Linked DNA regions of Pelodiscus sinensis. The protein of the gene in region 2 interacts with the protein of the main gene of each other region in a pairwise test. Links are inferred from orthologs where the notes say so. Each region holds a gene or a part of one and is shown on either strand. Other genes may lie near its edges.

Region 1 (8,590 bases), on a different chromosome or scaffold from region 2:
AGGGATAGAGAATAAGATGGAGAGCATCTTACTGCCCTTATATCAATTCATGGTACGCACACATCTTGACTACTGCGTACAGATCTGATCTCCTCATCTCAAAAAAGATATATTGGCATTAGAAAAGGTTCAGAGAAGGGCAACTAAAATGATTAGGGGTCCGGAATGGGTCCCATCTGAAGAGAGATTAAAGAGACTTGGACTTTTCAGCTTGGAAAAGAGGAGACTAAGGGGGAATATAATAGAGGTATATAAAGTCATGAGTGGTGTGGAGAAAGTGAATAAGGAAAAGTTATTTACTTGTTCCCATAATATAAGAACCAAGGGCCATCAAATGAAACTAATGGGCAGCAGGTTTAAAACAAATAAAAGGAAGTTCTTCTTCACACAGCACATAGTCAATCTGTGGAACTACTTGCTTGAGGAGGCTGTGAAGGCTAGGACTATAACAGGGTTTAAAAGAGAACTAGATAAATTCATGGAGGTTAGTTCCATAAATGGCTATTAGCCAGTATGGGTAAGGAATGGTGTCCCTAGCTTCTGTTTGTCAGAGGGTGGAAATGGATGGCAGGAGAAAGATCACTTGATAATTACCTGTTCGATTCACTCCTTCTGGGACACCTGGTATTGGCCACTGTCAGAAGACAGGATACTGGCTAGAGGGACCTTTGGTCTGACCCAGTATGGCCATTCTTATGTTCGTATGTTCTTAAAGAAAAATCTTTTGATTTTTGTTTTACCAAAAGTTCTTGTTCAGGGTTAACCCAAACAATATCCTCTCCCCCCCCCCCCCCCCCCCCATGTGTTGGTATGGCCAACAAATTGAAGTGGTAGTTATTTGTCGTTTTAATGGCACCACATTTCTAGATGTTATATTATGTATGCACATTAGTAGATAAATGTAACCTATACATTTTGCAATATTTACATAGTGTAGCAGGGTGTTGCCCTGCACTGGCCCTTTAAGGGGTTGGGAGACCTGGAGTTGGGGGGCCCAACTGGAGCTTATAAGAGCAGCTCCTGGGAAGAGGAGAGGGTTCTGCCTGTCTGCCGCCCCAGGGCCACAGGCTTTGGGCCCAGCGAACCCAGACTACCCGGCCTGAGGCCCAGTGCTGCATGGAGGCAGTCATAAAGGGCGGGGGCTTGCACGGAGGCAGCCCTAAAAGGCCGGGCTGCAGGGAGGCACCCATGGCTCACACAGAGGCAGTTATGGTAGGCCAGGGAAGCCCTAGGCCAGAAGGCACAAAGGCAGAGGTGCAGGAGGGAACCCGGCAGACTGAGAAACTGGGTGTTCCAGGAAGGAGCTGAGTGCTCCTGGGAAGAGCTAGGGGTCTCTGGGAGTAAGGAGGACCCTGGGTGTACAAGAAGAACAGTGACTCCCCCCGGAAGAGGGCATGGACGAAAAGCGGAGGGCAGTGACCTGAAGAGAACACCTCACTCAAAGGGGGCGTGTCAGAGAAGTGGGTGACTTCCCCACAAGCCACCCTGAGGAAGTCATCTGGGCAAAAAAGTGAGAAGCTGTGCGAAAAGTGAGTGAATCTGCTACAATAGCTAATTCTGCATATCACATAATGAAAGTATACTATTGAGGGATGCTCTGAAAATGATTGCAAATACTGGTTATCGATATCAGTTAAACCCTATATGATCACATCCATCACTACATTTTTTTTACTCAAATGAGGCACACACAAATAAAATGAATAATTCTAACTAACCGGCAAACAGCTTCAATTTTGCAAGTGTAACAAAATATTCATAACTATAAAGTCTAAAAACAACTGTATTCATCACAAAACTTTCTCAGATGTGCACTTAAGAGCTATAATACCTCTCAGACTCCTGTAAAGATTGCCAATCATACAAATCTGCAAAACGGAAGATCCTTCAGCAAGTCATGACTATATGAGTATTATACAAACAACCATCTTTTACCATGGAGAAAAATTCCATCTACTTCTGTTCTTGGTTTTTTTTTTTTTAAATACTGTGGTAGTTTCTAGAAGACAGGTCATGACCCAAGACCCATTGCACTAGGCACTGTATAAACCGAACAAAAGGAGGGTCCCTGCCCCAAAGAGCTCCTAATAGAAGTATCAGGTCAGAAACAATGTGGGGCTACAGCCAAGGCAACAGAAAGAAACAATGAGGCAGGACAGGCAGAGGTCACAGCAAGCCAGTGGCCTAACCTTTGTCAAGTTGTTTTGTAGGCCGTACTGCAAAAGAAAGTTTTAAGGTGGAATACGGTGGGTGGGAATGAAACAGCTTTGCAGATCTCCGCAGGGGTCACCTCCCACACAAAAGAGAAAGAAAACTACAAGGTGTCTGTTTGGAAATGTAACAAGCCTGTGATCCATCCGGCTTGGCCTCTCTACCCCACTAATGGGGGATGGGAGCCAGCCCCTTGTACACACTGGGGAGCACCTCACAGCTCAAGGCAGGTCCGGGTTTGCATTAGGGATGTAATAGTGTAATTGATTAACCCATTCACCGATAAGCAAAAGCCTATAGGTTGATGCTGTAGACTACACGTATCTCTTCTCCCCCCACCTCCCTGCTCTGCCAGTACATTTTTTTTTAGCAGGCCAGCCAGCAGCGCAAGTCAGGCCAGGTCCAGGACCTATCCCAGTTGCGGCTCTGCATTTAAAGTGTATTAGGAATCGGGCGGGCAGCCTGGCTCAGTTCTGGCTGGCGCGGGGTCCTCCCCCCAGACGGAGGCCGCTGCCATCCCACGCTGTGCAGCACGGGGGGACAGGCCGCCAGCCCGGGAGGGGAGCTCCCCTCATGGACCAGCTCCCACCTCACACCCCATAGTGCTGCCTCTGGATCGGAGGCAGCAGCCAAGGGGGCTCCGGGGGAGCAGAGCTGGACCGAGCCATAAGGCGCCTGATTGACATGGGAGGGGGCGCCAACCTGTGGGGGGGAGGGGCCTGACTGAAGTGCTAAGGGGTGCGCTGGGGGCGAGCCCCCCCCCCTCCGGGCCTGGGGATGGAGGCGCCGCTGCCGGCCCCGCCCGGGACTAACCGACGCAAACCGATGAGGTTTTGACTGGTCCTGAGGTAACATCCCGTTGGCACCGCGCGCGGCAGCCAGAGCCAGAGCCGGGCCCTGAGGGGCAGGACAAGGCAGAGCCCCCCCCCCGCCGGCCCTGCCCGCCCCCCCGGCCCCTCACCCGTCAGGCCGCCCCCCTTGCCGTGGCCTCGCCGCCGCTGCAGGAGGAAGAAGGGGTTGGCCCGCTCGGTGACCCAGAGCGCGCCGGCCAGCAGCACCTCCTCGGGGCTCAGCCACATGGCGCCGGCTCGGCTGGGCCGGGCGGCTTCGGGCCGGGCCGCGCGGGCGAGTGACGGGGCCCAGCCGACTCAGCTCAGCCCCGGGAGCCGACGGGGCGGCGCCCTCTGGCGGCCCGGCCGGCTCATGGCGGCGCGCAACGGCCGCCGCCTCCCCTGGGGGACTGGGCGGGAGCTGCCGCCTCAGCGCCACGGCCAGGCCCGAGCCCCAGGGAGCGACTCTCCCGCGCTTCAGAGCCCCCCTCCCTGGGGGACAGACCCCCCCCCCCCGAGAACGGCCCGCCCTGTGCCCCAGAGCCCCCCTCCCCTGGGGGACAGACCCCCCCCCCGGAACGGCCCGCCCTATGCCCCAGAGCCCCCCTCCCCTGGGGACAGACCCCCCCCCGAGAACGGCCCGCCCTGTGCCCCAGAGCCCCCCTCCCCTGGGGGACAGACCCCCCCCGAGAACGGCCCGCCCTGTGCCCCAGAGCCCCCCTCCCCTGGGGGACAGACCCCCCCGGAACGGCCCGCCCCGTGCCCCAGAGCCCCCCTCCCCTGGGAGACAGACCCCCCCCCGAGAACGGCCCGCCCTGTGCCCCAGAGCCCCCCTCCCCTGGGGGACAGACCCCCCCCCGGAACGGCCCGCCCTGTGCCCCAGAGCCCCCCTCCCCTGGGGACTGACCCCCCCCCCCCCCCGAGAACGGCCCGCCCTGTGCCCCAGAGCCCCCCTCCCCTGGGGGACAGACCCCCCCCCCCGAGAACGGCCCGCCCTGTGCCCCAGAGCCCCCCTCCCTGGGGGACAGACCCCCCCCGGAACGGCCCGCCCTGTGCCCCAGAGCCCCCCTCCCCTGGGGGACAGACCCCCCCGGAACGGCCCGCCCTGTGCCCCAGAGCCCCCCTCCCTGGGGGACAGACCCCCCCCCGAGAACGGCCCGCCCTGTGCCCCAGAGCCCCCCTCCCCTGGGGGACAGACCCCCCCCCCCGAGAACGGCCCGCCCTGTGCCCCAGAGCCCCCCTCCCCTGGGGGACAGACCCCCCCCGGAACGGCCCGCCCTGTGCCCCAGAGCCCCCCTCCCCTGGGGGACAGACCCCCCCCCGAGAACGGCCCGCCCTGTGCCCCAGAGCCCCCCTCCCCTGGGGGACAGACCCCCCCCCCCTGAGAACGGCCCGCCCTGTGCCCCAGAGCCCCCCTCCCCTGGGGGACAGACCCCCCCCCCCCGAGAACGGCCCGCCCTGTACCCCAGAGCCCCCCTCCCCCTGGGGGACAGACCCCCCCTGGAACGGCCCGCCCTGTGCCCCAGAGCCCCCCTCCCCTGGGGGACAGACCCCCCCCGGAACGGCCCGCCCTGTGCCCCAGAGCCCCCCTCCCCTGGGGGACAGACCCCCCCCCCGAGAACGGCCCGCCCTGTGCCCCAGAGCCCCCCTCCCCTGGGGGACAGACTTCCCCCCCCCGAGAACGGCCCGCCCTGTGCCCCAGAGCCCCCCTCCCCTGGGGGACAGACCCCCCCCGGAACGGCCCGCCCTGTGCCCCAGAGCCCCCCTCCCCTGGGGGACAGACCCCCCCCCCTGAGAACGGCCCGCCCTGTGCCCCAGAGCCCCCCTCCCCTGGGGGACAGACCCCCCCCCCTGAGAACGGCCCGCCCTGTGCCCCAGAGCCCCCCTCCCCTGGGGGACAGACCCCCCCCCCGAGAACGGCCCGCCCTGTACCCCAGAGCCCCCCTCCCCTGGGGGACAGACCCCCCCTGGAACGGCCCGCCCTGTGCCCCAGAGCCCCCCTCCCCTGGGGGACAGACCCCCCCCGGAACGGCCCGCCCTGTGCCCCAGAGCCCCCCTCCCCTGGGGGACAGACCCCCCCCCCGAGAACGGCCCGCCCTGTGCCCCAGAGCCCCCCTCCCCTGGGGGACAGACTTCCCCCCCCCCGAGAACGGCCCGCCCTGTGCCCCAGAGCCCCCCTCCCCTGGGGGACAGACCCCCCCCCCCCGAGAACGGCCCGCCCTGTGCCCCAGAGCCCCCCTCCCCTGGGGGACAGACCCCCCCCCCGGGAACGGCCCGCCCTGTGTCCCAGAGCCCTCCCTCCCCTAGGGGACAGACCCCTCCCCTGAGAACGGCCCGCCCTGACCCCAGAGCCCCCGCTCCCCTGGGGGACAGACCCCCCCCGAGAACGGCCCGCCCTGTACCCCAGAGCCCACTCTCCCCTGGGGGACAGACCCTCCCCCCGAGAACGGCCCGCCCTGTGCCCCAAAACCCCCCCTCCCCTGGGGAACAGACCGCCCCCTGAGAACTGCCTGCCTTGTGCCCCAGAGCCCCCCTCCCCTGGGTGACAGACCCCCCCCCCGAGAACGGCCCGCCCTGTGCCCCAGAGCCCCCCCCACCTCTGGGGAAAAGACCCCCCCCCCGGAGAACAGCCCGCCCTGTGCCTCAGCGCCCCCCCTCCTCTGGGGAACAGACCCCCCCTGAGAACAGCCTGCCCTGTGCCTCAGCGCCCCCCCTCCCCTGGGGAACAGACCCGGCCCCCGCACCCCGAATGGCCCACCCTGTGCCTCAGAGCCCCTGGCTCCGCTGCGGAACAGACCCCCCCCCCCCAGAATGGCCTGCCCTGTGCCTTAGAGCCTCCCCTCCCCCAGGGAACACACCCTTTGTGCCACAGAAATCCCCCTCTGGGAATGGCCTGCCCTGTGCCTCAGAGCCCCCCCCCCCCACTCCGTGGGGAACAGACCCGCTGTGCCACAGAGACCCCCCAGGAACAGTCTTCCCGCCCAAAGCCTCCTCCACTCTTTGGGGAACAGCCCAGCCCATACCAGAGAGGCCTCCCCCCATCCCCTGCAGAAGGTCCCTCTGCCGGGAGAACCCTCCCCATGACTGCTCTAGAATACTCACCCCTCTCCTCCTGGGGAACAGTCCCCACCATTCCATTGCCACAGAGACCCCCTGGGGGATGGTCCCTTGCCCTCAGGAACCCTCCACTGACCCTGCTAGAATGCCCCCCCATGCATCAGAGACCCTCCCTCCAGGTAATCCTTGCCCCAGGAGACCCTTCCCCACCCCCTAGGGACAGGGCCGGCCCGAGCCATTCATGCGCCCTGGGTCCGGGGTGCCCGGCAGCCCTGCGTGGCGCCCCCTACAATGGGGCACCCCGGGTGGTAGCCCAGTCAGCCCATAGCTTGGGCCGGTTCTGCCTAGGGAACAGGCCCTCTATTCCAGTGCCACAGAGACACTTCACCCTTGGGGAACAGCCACTTTCTCCATTGCCACAGAGACCCTCCTGCTGGAATGGTCTCCCTCTGCCCAAGCCACAGACAACATTCTCCCATCCCCGGGGGACTGGCCCTTATCTCTAATGCCATGACAGAGGTCATCCCTGCCAGGGGAATAGCCCCATCCTCAGTGCCTCCACTTCCTTATGGGGGAATAGCCCTTTGCCTTGTGCCACAACAGAGGTTGCTCCACCACACCCCTGAGGATAGGAAGTCTCCCCACAAACTCCTGTTCCTAATCCACCTACGTCCTCCCCTGTTGCATTGTCCCCCACCGCCAACCACCACCACAGTGTTGCCAACTTTAAACACTCAAATATTGTGAGTTAGGGCCCTCACAATCATGAATGTAGTGATATAAATGTAGCCGTGTTAGTCTGGTGTAGCTGAAACAATTGTGACAATTTTCTTCCACTATTTGATCTGAGGAAGTGGGTCTGGCCCACGAAAGCTCATCACCTAGTAAATCATCTTGTTAGTCTTTAAAGTGCTACATAGAGGACTGTTTTTTGTTTCAGTCATGAATGTAGTTCACCTCAAAAAATTACATTCTGATGCCTAAGCCTTTAGGGTGCATGTTTTCAGGCTTTTCTCCCTAAATATGCAGGTTAAAAACGTACATTCTGTGAAACGAAAGCTGCAATTCTCACTGCAGTCACAACTCCAGTAGTTGGGGCTTCAAGCAAAACTCCAAATGTTATAACTCGTGACAAAATCTTGAGAGTTGGCACTGCTAGGAATAGGACACACCTTCTCCGTGCTCCCTCCACTTTCCCTGCCAGACAGAAGGGAGAGGCCTTCCCTCCTCCTGGGGAAATGGGACTCAGGAGCAGAGTTAAATTAGTATCTGCGTCCACATCTGTGGACGACTTGCAGATACCTGTGGCTATAAAGTGGATATCCACAAATTTGCAGGATTCTGGATACAAAATTGGTATCCACAAAAATGAACCACAAATATCTACATCGGTGGATGCAGATATCCGTGGATTTACAGGCCTACTCAGGAGCAATGTTCCCTCTAATTTTTTCCATCCATAAGCAGATTGCATTTTATTTCCACTGAAGCAGATGTGGATATTCACCACTAGTAGAAACACATGCTGTCGGTTCTGGGTGCTCTGCTAATCAGTTGGGACAGGCATTTGAATCTCTTCTGGGTGGACACCAAAGTGCTCCGCTTAGAGGGAACACTACTCAGGAGTATGCTGTGCACCAAATATAACCTTATTCCCAAGGAGTGGACCCTCTGGGAAAGGTTTGAATGCACTCTACCACAGACAAGGAGCATCCTTTTGTGCCATCTGCAGCCTCTAGGCAACAAGAAGTAGCTCGTGTGTCCTAGCCCCCTTTGGTAAAGGAACCTCTGAGAGCTAGCTTGGAAGGGATCTCTCTGCATTCCACCTTTCCTGCAAAAGAATTAGAGAGGAGGCCTCCCTATGCTGCCTTCACCCAAATGGGCCACAGAAAGTGTGTTTCTTCCCAAACCAAAACAAAGAGGCTGTGTCTAGACTGGCAAGATTTTCCGCAAAAGCAAGTGCTTTTGCGGAAAAACTTGCCAGCTGTCTACACTGGCTGCTTGAATTTCCACAAGAACACTGACGATCTCATGTAAGAAATCAGTGCTTCTTGCGGAAATACTATGCTGCTCCCGTTCGGGCAAAAGTCCTTTTGCAAAAGGGCCAGTGTAGACAGCTCAGGTTTGTTTTGCGCAAAAAAGCCCCAATCGTGAAAATGGTGATCGGGGCTTTTTTGCGGAAAAGCGCGTCTAGATTGGCAGGGACGCTTTTCTGCAAAAAGGGCTTTTGCAGAAAAGAGTCCGTGCCAATCTAGACACTCTTTTCTGCAAATGCTTTTAACGGAAAACTTTTAAAACCGTTAAAAGCATTTGCGGAAAATCATGCCAGTCTAGACGTAGCCAGAGAGATTTCACTTTCCTGTTGGAACAGGTTGTGGGGGTCCAGCATTTGCCAGATGATGGAGAGTATCCATCTTTCCCAGTTCCATTCATGCCCATTGTTTCTTAGAAGAGGAAACAATATGTACTGCAGCATCTCCTGTGCTCCTGAG
Region 2 (8,934 bases):
TGTAGTTGCAGAGGGGAGGTGGGCAGCTCCCCAGCTTCACGATCAGCCACATCATCATCACTAGATTCATCCAGGCAGGAGCTGCTGTCACTGCCCATGCTGCTGTTGTAACCCCGGAAGCTGTCATAACCCCCAAAGAGGTCCAAGTTGTCATCGTCATCGTCTTCATCCTCCTCGTCCTCATCCTCCATCCGTTCCAAAGATGACGTCTTGTAGCAGAAGGAAGACAACAAGTAGCAGAGGAAACCACTCTTCAGAGCCAGAATTTGCAATATAGCCTCAGCACAGTAGGGCTCTCCCATGAGGCGTAGGGAGGGGAAACCTGATGTGGCTGTTAAGGTAATTCTACCCCAAAATCAGGTGTGACTCATTTGGGACAACCCCCTCAACCTGAAGCAAATCCTTTCCAGCAGCCAACATCATCACACCTCATATGCTTACCAAGGAACCTGCCCTTGCTACAAACCCCATTGCCTACTCTGTCCATACATACAAGTGACACCATCATAAGCCCTAACCACAAAAGCCACAACTTCAGAGGCACATCCTCTAATGCGATATATGCCATCAAGTACCAGCAATGCCCCTCTGCAATGTATATTGGCCAAACTGGACAGTCTCTACGACAAAGGATAAATGGACACAAATTGGAAATCAGAAATGGTAACATACATAAAACCCGTCATGTCTCTCAATCAAGGATTTAAAAGTAGCCATTCTTCTACAAAGGAATTTCACTAACCAATTACAGAGAAAGTCTGCAAAACTGGAATTCATCTATACATTTGGCACCTGTTACCTTACTCTAAACAAAGACATTAACTAGCTGGTGCATTACAAAGCCAATTTCTTCTGTCATTAACATCTGCATTTCCACATCAAAAGCTACGTATGGGAGACATCCAGTCCATTTAATTAGCCTCAGTAACATAGGTCCTACAACTGACAGGTGGTACTTCTGATGTGTTTTTATCTATATAGGTTTCTGTTATTTCCACTCCAATTCATCTGATGAAGTTTTGCCCCCAAAAGCTCATGATTCTATATATTCTCTAAGGTGCCACAGGACCACTTGTTTTTATGGTCACTGGCCCTTTTCTGCTCTCAGGTGGTAAGTTAGTGGCATACGCTTTTAGGGCACAGCTATTCAACAAACGGGCTGCAGTCCGTTTGTTTACAGCCCATAGTGTGGTTTGGGTTTATGTGGAGCTCAACACATGGCCCATGGGTGGGATCCTTTGAACATGGCCTCCACTGGGAACATGCTCCACAATGGCAAGGCATCTCCCAGGCAGGATGAGCACTGAAAGATGCAAGCAGACGGGCTGGCTAGAACAGACGAGAACAGGGTGTCAGGAGGAGGTGCCGGGAGCACCGGGGCATTGTGGGAAGTGCTGGTTGCTTAGCCTTGTGGGCAGAGCCTGAGAGGTGCTGACTGGTTTACACTGGCCACATTTGGGTCCGGTGCCGCAGCTTAAGGCTTAATCTTGGTATTTGTGCCAGTCAGTGTGAAAGAAGCTATTTGCATATATTTGCATGTATATGCAACCACACTTAAGTTGCAGCCCTCGACATGTGCTGTGAGTATCATTGTGGCCCTCAAGGCTTCCAAAGTGGAGTAGCCCTGTTTTAGGGTCTGAGCAAAACTTCAGCCTCCAAACATTGTACTTTACATTGCTTTCCCTATTCTTCCCTCCCCAAAATAAGAACAATCACATACATGCTGGGACACAGAGAAACAGATTCTGCCTTGGAGTAAAAATGATCTACAGTAAAACTCCGATGGTCCGGCATCTGATGGTCCGGCACCATCAGGAACCCGGAAGTGCTCCAGGCACCCGGACCATTGGAGCTGCTCTGCCCCCAGCTTCCCCAATTCAGCTGCTGCTAAAACTGACCAGCGGCTGAATCGGAGAAGCCTGGGGCAGAGCAGCTGGAGTGCTGCCGGTTAGGTCCCGTAGTGCTGCCCCTCAGAGCTGCAGGACTCAACCCGGCAGCACCCCAGCTGTCCCCGATTCAGCCGCTGCTGAAACTGATCAGGGGCTGATTCCAGGAAGCCCGGGGCAGAGTAACTCTGCCTCCGGCTTCCTGGAGTCAGCCGCTGATCAGTTTCAGCAGCGGCTGTCTTGGGTACACCTGGGACAGAGCAGCTGGGGTGCTGCAGGGTTGGTCTGGTAGTGCCACGGGTTGGCGCTACCAGACCAACCCAGCAGCGCCCCAGCTGCTCTGTCCCAGGCATCTGGATTCAGCCGCTGTTGAAACTGACCAGTGGCTGACTCCAGGAAGCCCGGGGCAGAGTAACTCTGCCTCCGGCTTCCTGGAGTCAGCCGCTGATCAATTTCAGCAGCAGCTGACTTGGGGACACCTGGGGTAGAGCAGCTGGGGTGCTGCCGGGTTGGTCCAGTAGCGCCGAGGAGCAGGGCTGCGGGACCAACCCGGCAGCACCCCAGCTGCTCTGCCCCAAGCATCCCCAAGAGCAGCTGGGGTGCTGCCGGGTTGGTCTTGCCGCGCCACAGGTCCAGCTGCTCTGCTGCAGGCATCCCCGATTCAGCCGCTGCTGAAACTGACCAGCAGCGGCTGAATCGGGGTCGCCTGGGGCAGAGCCGGACTATCGGAAGGGGGGGTTATGAGGGGTCTGAGGTGGCATCCCACCCCACCCCAGACCCCTCATAGCCCCCCCTTCCGATAGTCTGGCAAATCTGATAATCCAGCACCCCCTGGGTCCTAAAGGTGCCAGATTATCGGAATTTTACTGTATTAAGGCAGCAGTTCTCAAACTTTTTGGGCTCTGGAGCACTTTACATGCGTAAAAATGTATGCAGCGCCCCAGCGGACCCCTGATTATATGATTTGTACCTATCAATGTTTCTAGTTTGTCACCCTCACGGAGCCGCTGAGCACAGTTTGAGAAACACTGTATTAAGGAACACAGGGCTTCAGGCTGCTCCCACCGAGTCTGAACTCTTCCCCAGAGGCAGTGTCAGGAGCACCGTTCACACCTACGGCCATGGGGTAGAAGAACCAAAAAGCCGACAGCGAAGGCGCCACTGAGTGCAGTCCCACCGCTCCAGGAGCCTGGTCTACCCCCAGCCGGGCCCATTGCCGCACCGCGACCCAGACCCTTTTACAAACTGAATTCAGGAAAGCGGCTGCGAAGGATCCTTCCGTGCCCAGCCCCTGGGCGGAGCGGGCTTCCCCGCCCACAGCCTGGCGCCAGGGCAGCGGGAAGCCGACGCGGATCCCTGGGCAAGGCGCTGGATGGGGGCGTCTCACAGGGGCCGCCGGGCTGCAGCGCTGGGCCCCCGGAGTCCCGCGGGGCGAGAGGGGGGCGCCGGGGCGCGCGCAGGGCCCGGGGACGCAGCATCTCTCTGCCCCGCCGCTCACCTCGCCCGGCTCCGGCTCCAGCTCCATGGCTCCCCGCGCCCGGCTAAGAGCAGCTGCGCCGGACACGTGCTGCCTTCCCCGACCAGGCCCCGCCCCACGGCCGGGCATCACACGCTAGCCACGAGCGCGTTAGCTTCACTGTCCCCCATGCACCGGAAAAGCCTATTGGCCCGTCCCTGCTGGCCAATCCCCCGACAGGTTGCTTAGACACAGTAAACGGGGGGGGGGGAGAGCGCCTTCCCGCCGCAGGGCGTTCTGGGAGTTGTAGTTCGCTAAGCCCGGTAGCTTGGCGGAAGGAAGCCACGGGGAGGCCGGAGAGGTTACTGCCCCGCCCGGGCACGGTCTCTCCTTCCGGCTGCGTCATTCTCCCGACAGCCCCGTGCACGTGAGGGGGGGGGCGGAGCTCTGGCAGTGCGCGCGCAGGCGGGGTGGCGGCACGCGCCCCGCCCTCCGCGCCTTGAGGCGGTCGGAGCAGCGAGACGCCGGGCCCCGGGGCGCATCGGTGCCGGGAAATGGCTCCGCCCGGGCAGGCTCTGCTCTCCCGGCACAGGCCCGGCCACTGCAGGGGGGCCCGCCCCGCCCCGCCCCGCCCCGCGTGTTACTTTGCCGGGTTTCCCCTCGGCCCGTTACGCAGCCTGGAGCAGCCTGTGGCCCAGCGGGGCGGGCGTGTGGCCCGTGAGCCATTTTGTTTGCCGTTGCACCCTGGAGTTGGGATTCTGCTGGTTCCCCCCTGTGGGTGTTACTAGTGAGGGGCACGTGCAATGAGGTGCATGCTGAGTGCACACAACACTGAGAGCCCCCGGCTCCTTCTGCAGCCAATCAACCTGCTGCTTCGGTTCGATCGGTGCCCTGCAAATGCTGCGTGTGCAAGTGCAGTTAGTGAAACGACCCAGTCCCGGGAGACTGGCTTGGTTACAACTATCCTGTAGCCCCCTGAGACAAAAGAGGGCCAGTCATGCTGCCCCTCACAAGGCAAAGTTGGCCTTCACTGGCCTAAACAAAAAACAGGACTATGCTGCGCTTTAAAGACTAACAAGATGGTTTATTAGGTGATGAGCTTTCATGGGCCAGACCCACTTATTAGCTCATCACCTAATAAACCATCTTGTTAGTCTCTAAAGTGCTACATAGTCCTGTTTTTTGTTTCAGCTACACCAGACTAACACGGCTACATTTCCATCACTCTTCTCACTGGCCTAGACCATCTAAACTAAAGCAATGTTGTAATGTATTTGCACTGCTGCCTTAATGGCTCTCTTAGCAGCAGGGGAGAGGTTTGCTGTGGTTCCTTCCATAACCTCTCTGCAATGGGGCTCTGAGGCACTTTCCTTTGGGGAATGCAGTTTATATTAGTGATATGCTTGAGTACAGTCTGTTGTCACGGTCCTGGTCCTAACCAATTGGCAGCCCTGGGCGACCACCCAGCTTGCCCATAGGGTTGCCAGATGGTTTAAAAAATATACCAGACAAAAATTTGTTGAGGAAAAAAAAAGGGGGGGGGAGGTCGGGGAGTAACCAGGGGCATTCGGGAGGTCAGGCCAAAATGTGGTCTTCCTGAAAATGGCAGCCCTGGGTAACACCCAGCTCACCCACCCCTAAGACTGGCTCTGTCTGTTGTGGTGGGGTTGCCAGGAGTCCAGTTTTTGACTGGAACACCCACTCTGGTGGCTCCTGTCAGCACTGCTGATGGGTGGGCATTAAAAGTCTGGTTGGCAGAGCAGGCAGGCTCTGTAGCTGGTTCCATGGTGCTCCCAGGAGTTGCCGGGCAGCTTCCTCTGGGTCTTAGGTGGAGGGATAGCTCAGGGGGCTCCACGCACTGCCTCCAGCGCCAGCTCAGCAGCTCCCATTGGCTAGTAACCATGGCCAATGAGAGCTGAGAGGGTGTTGCCTGCAGGTTTGGACAGTATGCAGAACCATGTGGTTCTGTCTCAGTGCAGGAGCTGGAGAGAGATGCCAGCAGCTTCCCTGGACCACCTGAGAACACTGCCAAGAACTCCCTCCCCAGCCCCTTCCTGCACCCCAAACCATAGCCCCACCCCAGAGCATGCACCTCCAGCTCCTCACCCTATCTTGCACCCTGACCCTCTATCCCTGCCTGAACATTGAACCCCTCATTTCTGGCCCCAACCCAGAACCCCCACCACTAGCTGGAGTCCCCATTCCCTCCTGCACACCTGTCCCAGCTCTCTCCTGCATTTCAAACCCTGATATTTGGTCAGACCTGGAGCCCGCACCTCCAGCCAGAGCCCTCACCCCAACCCTTCCCAGGAGTCTGCCTCAGGGTCCTGCAGAACTGCTGGCTGGGAGTGGCCTAGGTAAGAGCCTCCCGGCCACAGCCTGCCTCTGGTACCCCAGCCCCTCCAACATCCGAATTCTCTGCCCCAGGTCACCATCCAAACTCTCTGCACTCCCTCTCCCCTCTTTCCCCAGGTCACAACTCTTTCCCAGACCCTGCACCTCCTCCTACATTCCTGCCCCAGGCCAGAATTCTCTCCTGCATAACCATACCTCCTCCCAGACCCTACACCCCAAAACCCTGCCCCAGGTCACAATCTCCTCCTTCACCCAAACTCCCTTTCTGACCCCACAACCTGTCCTGCACCCCAACCCCCTAATCCAAGCTCCCTTCCACACCTAACCTTCATCCCAGACCCCCTCCATAGAAAAGTGCAGTCCTTGATCACTTACCAAAATCTTGGAGTGTTCTCCCGCCCGCCCCCCCATCAAAAATTATTGCCCACTCTTGGTTTAGATACTTAGAATCATTCTCTGTCCCTCTGCTGCTCATTTTAAAACTGCCACAGAGCACTTAGGGATCTTAACATTGCATCTGAACTGCTCAGATAATCTATTTTGTCCGGGGTGTTTTACGGAAGAACAAATTCAAGCTGGTATTTTAACAGGAACCGAACCAGAACCATAATTTTGTTCTACCCATTGATCTGGAATTAGAAGCGGATCTAAAATGAAAGAATATTTGTGTACTGACTAAAATAAAATTTCAGCATTTTTCAGCTAAATATAATGTCCAATTTGTTTCACAAGCAGCAGGAATATCCCACTCCTCATTTTTCATTAAATATATTTAAAAAAGTGCCCCTCCCTCTTTGACCAAGCAAGATGAATGTCATCATATAAAGCAGAGCCATCCCTGGGGTGAATCGGGGTGACTGCACCCGGCCATGTTCTTGGGAGAGAGCGGGGGGTTCTGCAAGCCGGCACAATTATTTCCAGAACCAATCTTGAAAGTGACAAGATTGGTCCTGGAAATAAAATATTTGTTACTTCTGCCCTGAGCCCCACATGTCCCTCAGGACCCTTCTGATACAAGGCCACTGTATTCAAACTCTCCCCCCAACCCACCCCACCCCACCAGTTTTATATTCTGTTTTTTTTCCAGTTTGGAATTGAAAAGTTTCATGGTTGAGCTCAAACCTGGATTAAAAAAGTAAAGCAAGTTCAGCTGAGCCATTCTGGAGTTATAGGAGCTGGGTAGAAATACATCACTCTAAAAGGCACACTCATACCTTGTTTGGGAGGGGGGATTAGATAATTTTATCCATTGGAGCTTCTGCCCTAATTTTAATCTGTCAGTTATTGTGGGGAAATTCATATGAACACAGCTATTGATTTATTGAAATTGATTACCTACTCTAAATTTAAGTAGATCAGTTGTTTAGGTTTATAAATCATCAGTAAGCACTTGCTACTATACTTTGGCTATTTTATATAACTTAATTTTTAGGGCTGCTGATTAATTGCAGTTATCTCACACAATTAACACAAAAAATTGTAATAAAAAAATCATTCACAATCACAGTTTTAATCATATTGAAAAATAGAATATTAATTGAAATGAAATATTTTGATATTTCTCTACATTGTCAAATATATACATTTCAATAACAACATAGACTATGAAGTATACAGTGCTCACTTTAGTAGTTACAGTAAAAATATATGCACTCTAAAAATATTTTTCAATTAATCTGATGATAGTACCATAGTGCAATCTATTTATCATGAAAGTGCAACTTACAAATGTAGATTTTTTTTGTTACATAACTGTGCTCAAAAACAAAACAATATAAAACTTTAGTACCTCCAAGTCCATGCAGTCCTACTTCTTGTTCAGCTGATTGCTTAGAGCAGGGGTCTCCAAACTACGGCCCGGGGGCCGGATGCGGCCCGCGAGGCCCTCTCATCCGGCCCGTGGAGACCTTTTTGGATTCAAAGGCAGAAGAAGTGAGATTGTTTCAAAACCCATTTGAAGCAGATGTGGCCAGTTGCCCAGATGAACTGCAGCTGGAAGTCATTGAGTTGCAAGCAAATGACCTCCTTAGGGACAAGTTCAAAATAGGACTGGTGGGTTTTTACCAGTTTTTGCCCAAGGAAGACTTTCCTAATGTCAAAACTTTTGCATCAAGGTACCTTTCAATCTTTGGAACAACATACCTGTGTGAACAAACATTTTCAAGAATGAAATACGTGAAGAACAATTTGAGAACAAACTTGTCCGATGATAATCTCAGGTCACTGTTGATGTTAGGGACAACAAATCTAAAGCCAGAAATGTCTGCTATTTTGGCATCCAGGAAACAATTTCACCATTCACACTAATACAGGTGTTCATGTGTAGTGTATGAATGTGTTATTAAATAATAACTGAATAAAATAATATTAAATAAATAATTAAAAACAACATCCATGTTTTGATTGTTTTTTATTTGGACCTCAAGTGTGTAGTCGGCCCCCGAACTGCTGTTTGATAGTTAATGCGGCCCTCGGACTGAAAAGTTTGGAGACCCCTGGCTTAGAGAAAGAAGTTTGTTTACATTTATGGGAAATAATGCTTCCCACTTCTTATTTACAATGTCACCTGAAAGTGAGAACAGGTGTTCTCATGGCACTTCAGCAGTCAGTACTGCAAGATATTTACATGCCAGATATTCTAAATATTCCTATGCGCCTTCATGCTTTGGCCACAATTCCAGAGGACATACTTCAATGCTGATGATGCTCGTTAAAAAAAGGTGACTGAACTCCCTGTGGGTGTACTGCATGTCTTCTGCTCTGTTTTACATGCATTCTGCCCTATATTTCATGTTATAGCAGTCTTGGATGATAACCCAGCACATGTCCATTTTAAGCTCACTTTCACTGCTGATTTGAGAAAACACAAAGAAGGTGCCAGTGTGAGATGTCTAAAGATAGCTACAGCACTGAACCCAAGGTATAAGAATCTGAAGTGCCTATAGTAAATCAAATATAAAGCAGTCCTTATTTGTCAATGATTTGGGGTAATAGAAAGGTTCCCTTGTAACCACTATAAAGGTTACACATGGGCCCTGAAACAAAATGCAGGATCAAAAGTGCTGAGTCAAGGTGTAGTCAGCATTAAGTTTATTGGCTAATATTCTGTTCTAGAGAAGAAAGTTTGGCATTTAGGAGGGCCAAGGGATGTTTCTATGCACTACAAAAAGCTGGCTCTGTGCCCTAATAATAGCAGCTAAGGCATAAGACTGTGATTCTTATGTTTGTACAAAAAAT

What was found.
Region 1: the proteins of L3MBTL2 (region 2) and TBC1D9B interact in binary tests that used the Homo sapiens proteins (3 or more experiments, as listed by UniProt). The two-hybrid records come from large-scale screens. The link is inferred for Pelodiscus sinensis from reciprocal best matches to the Homo sapiens genes L3MBTL2 and TBC1D9B.

The regions. Positions count from the first base shown.
Region 1 is NC_134727.1:34,492,229-34,500,818, forward strand, and holds the start of TBC1D9B (TBC1 domain family member 9B), read right to left. Parts: upstream 3,404-8,590; 5' UTR 3,291-3,403; coding exon 3,173-3,290; intron 1-3,172. UniProt on the Homo sapiens protein: May act as a GTPase-activating protein for Rab family protein(s).
Region 2 is NC_134711.1:89,382,452-89,391,385, forward strand, and holds the start of L3MBTL2 (lethal(3)malignant brain tumor-like protein 2), read right to left. Parts: upstream 3,575-8,934; 5' UTR 3,493-3,574; coding exon 3,385-3,492; intron 210-3,384; coding exon 1-209. UniProt on the Homo sapiens protein: Putative Polycomb group (PcG) protein. PcG proteins maintain the transcriptionally repressive state of genes, probably via a modification of chromatin, rendering it heritably changed in its expressibility.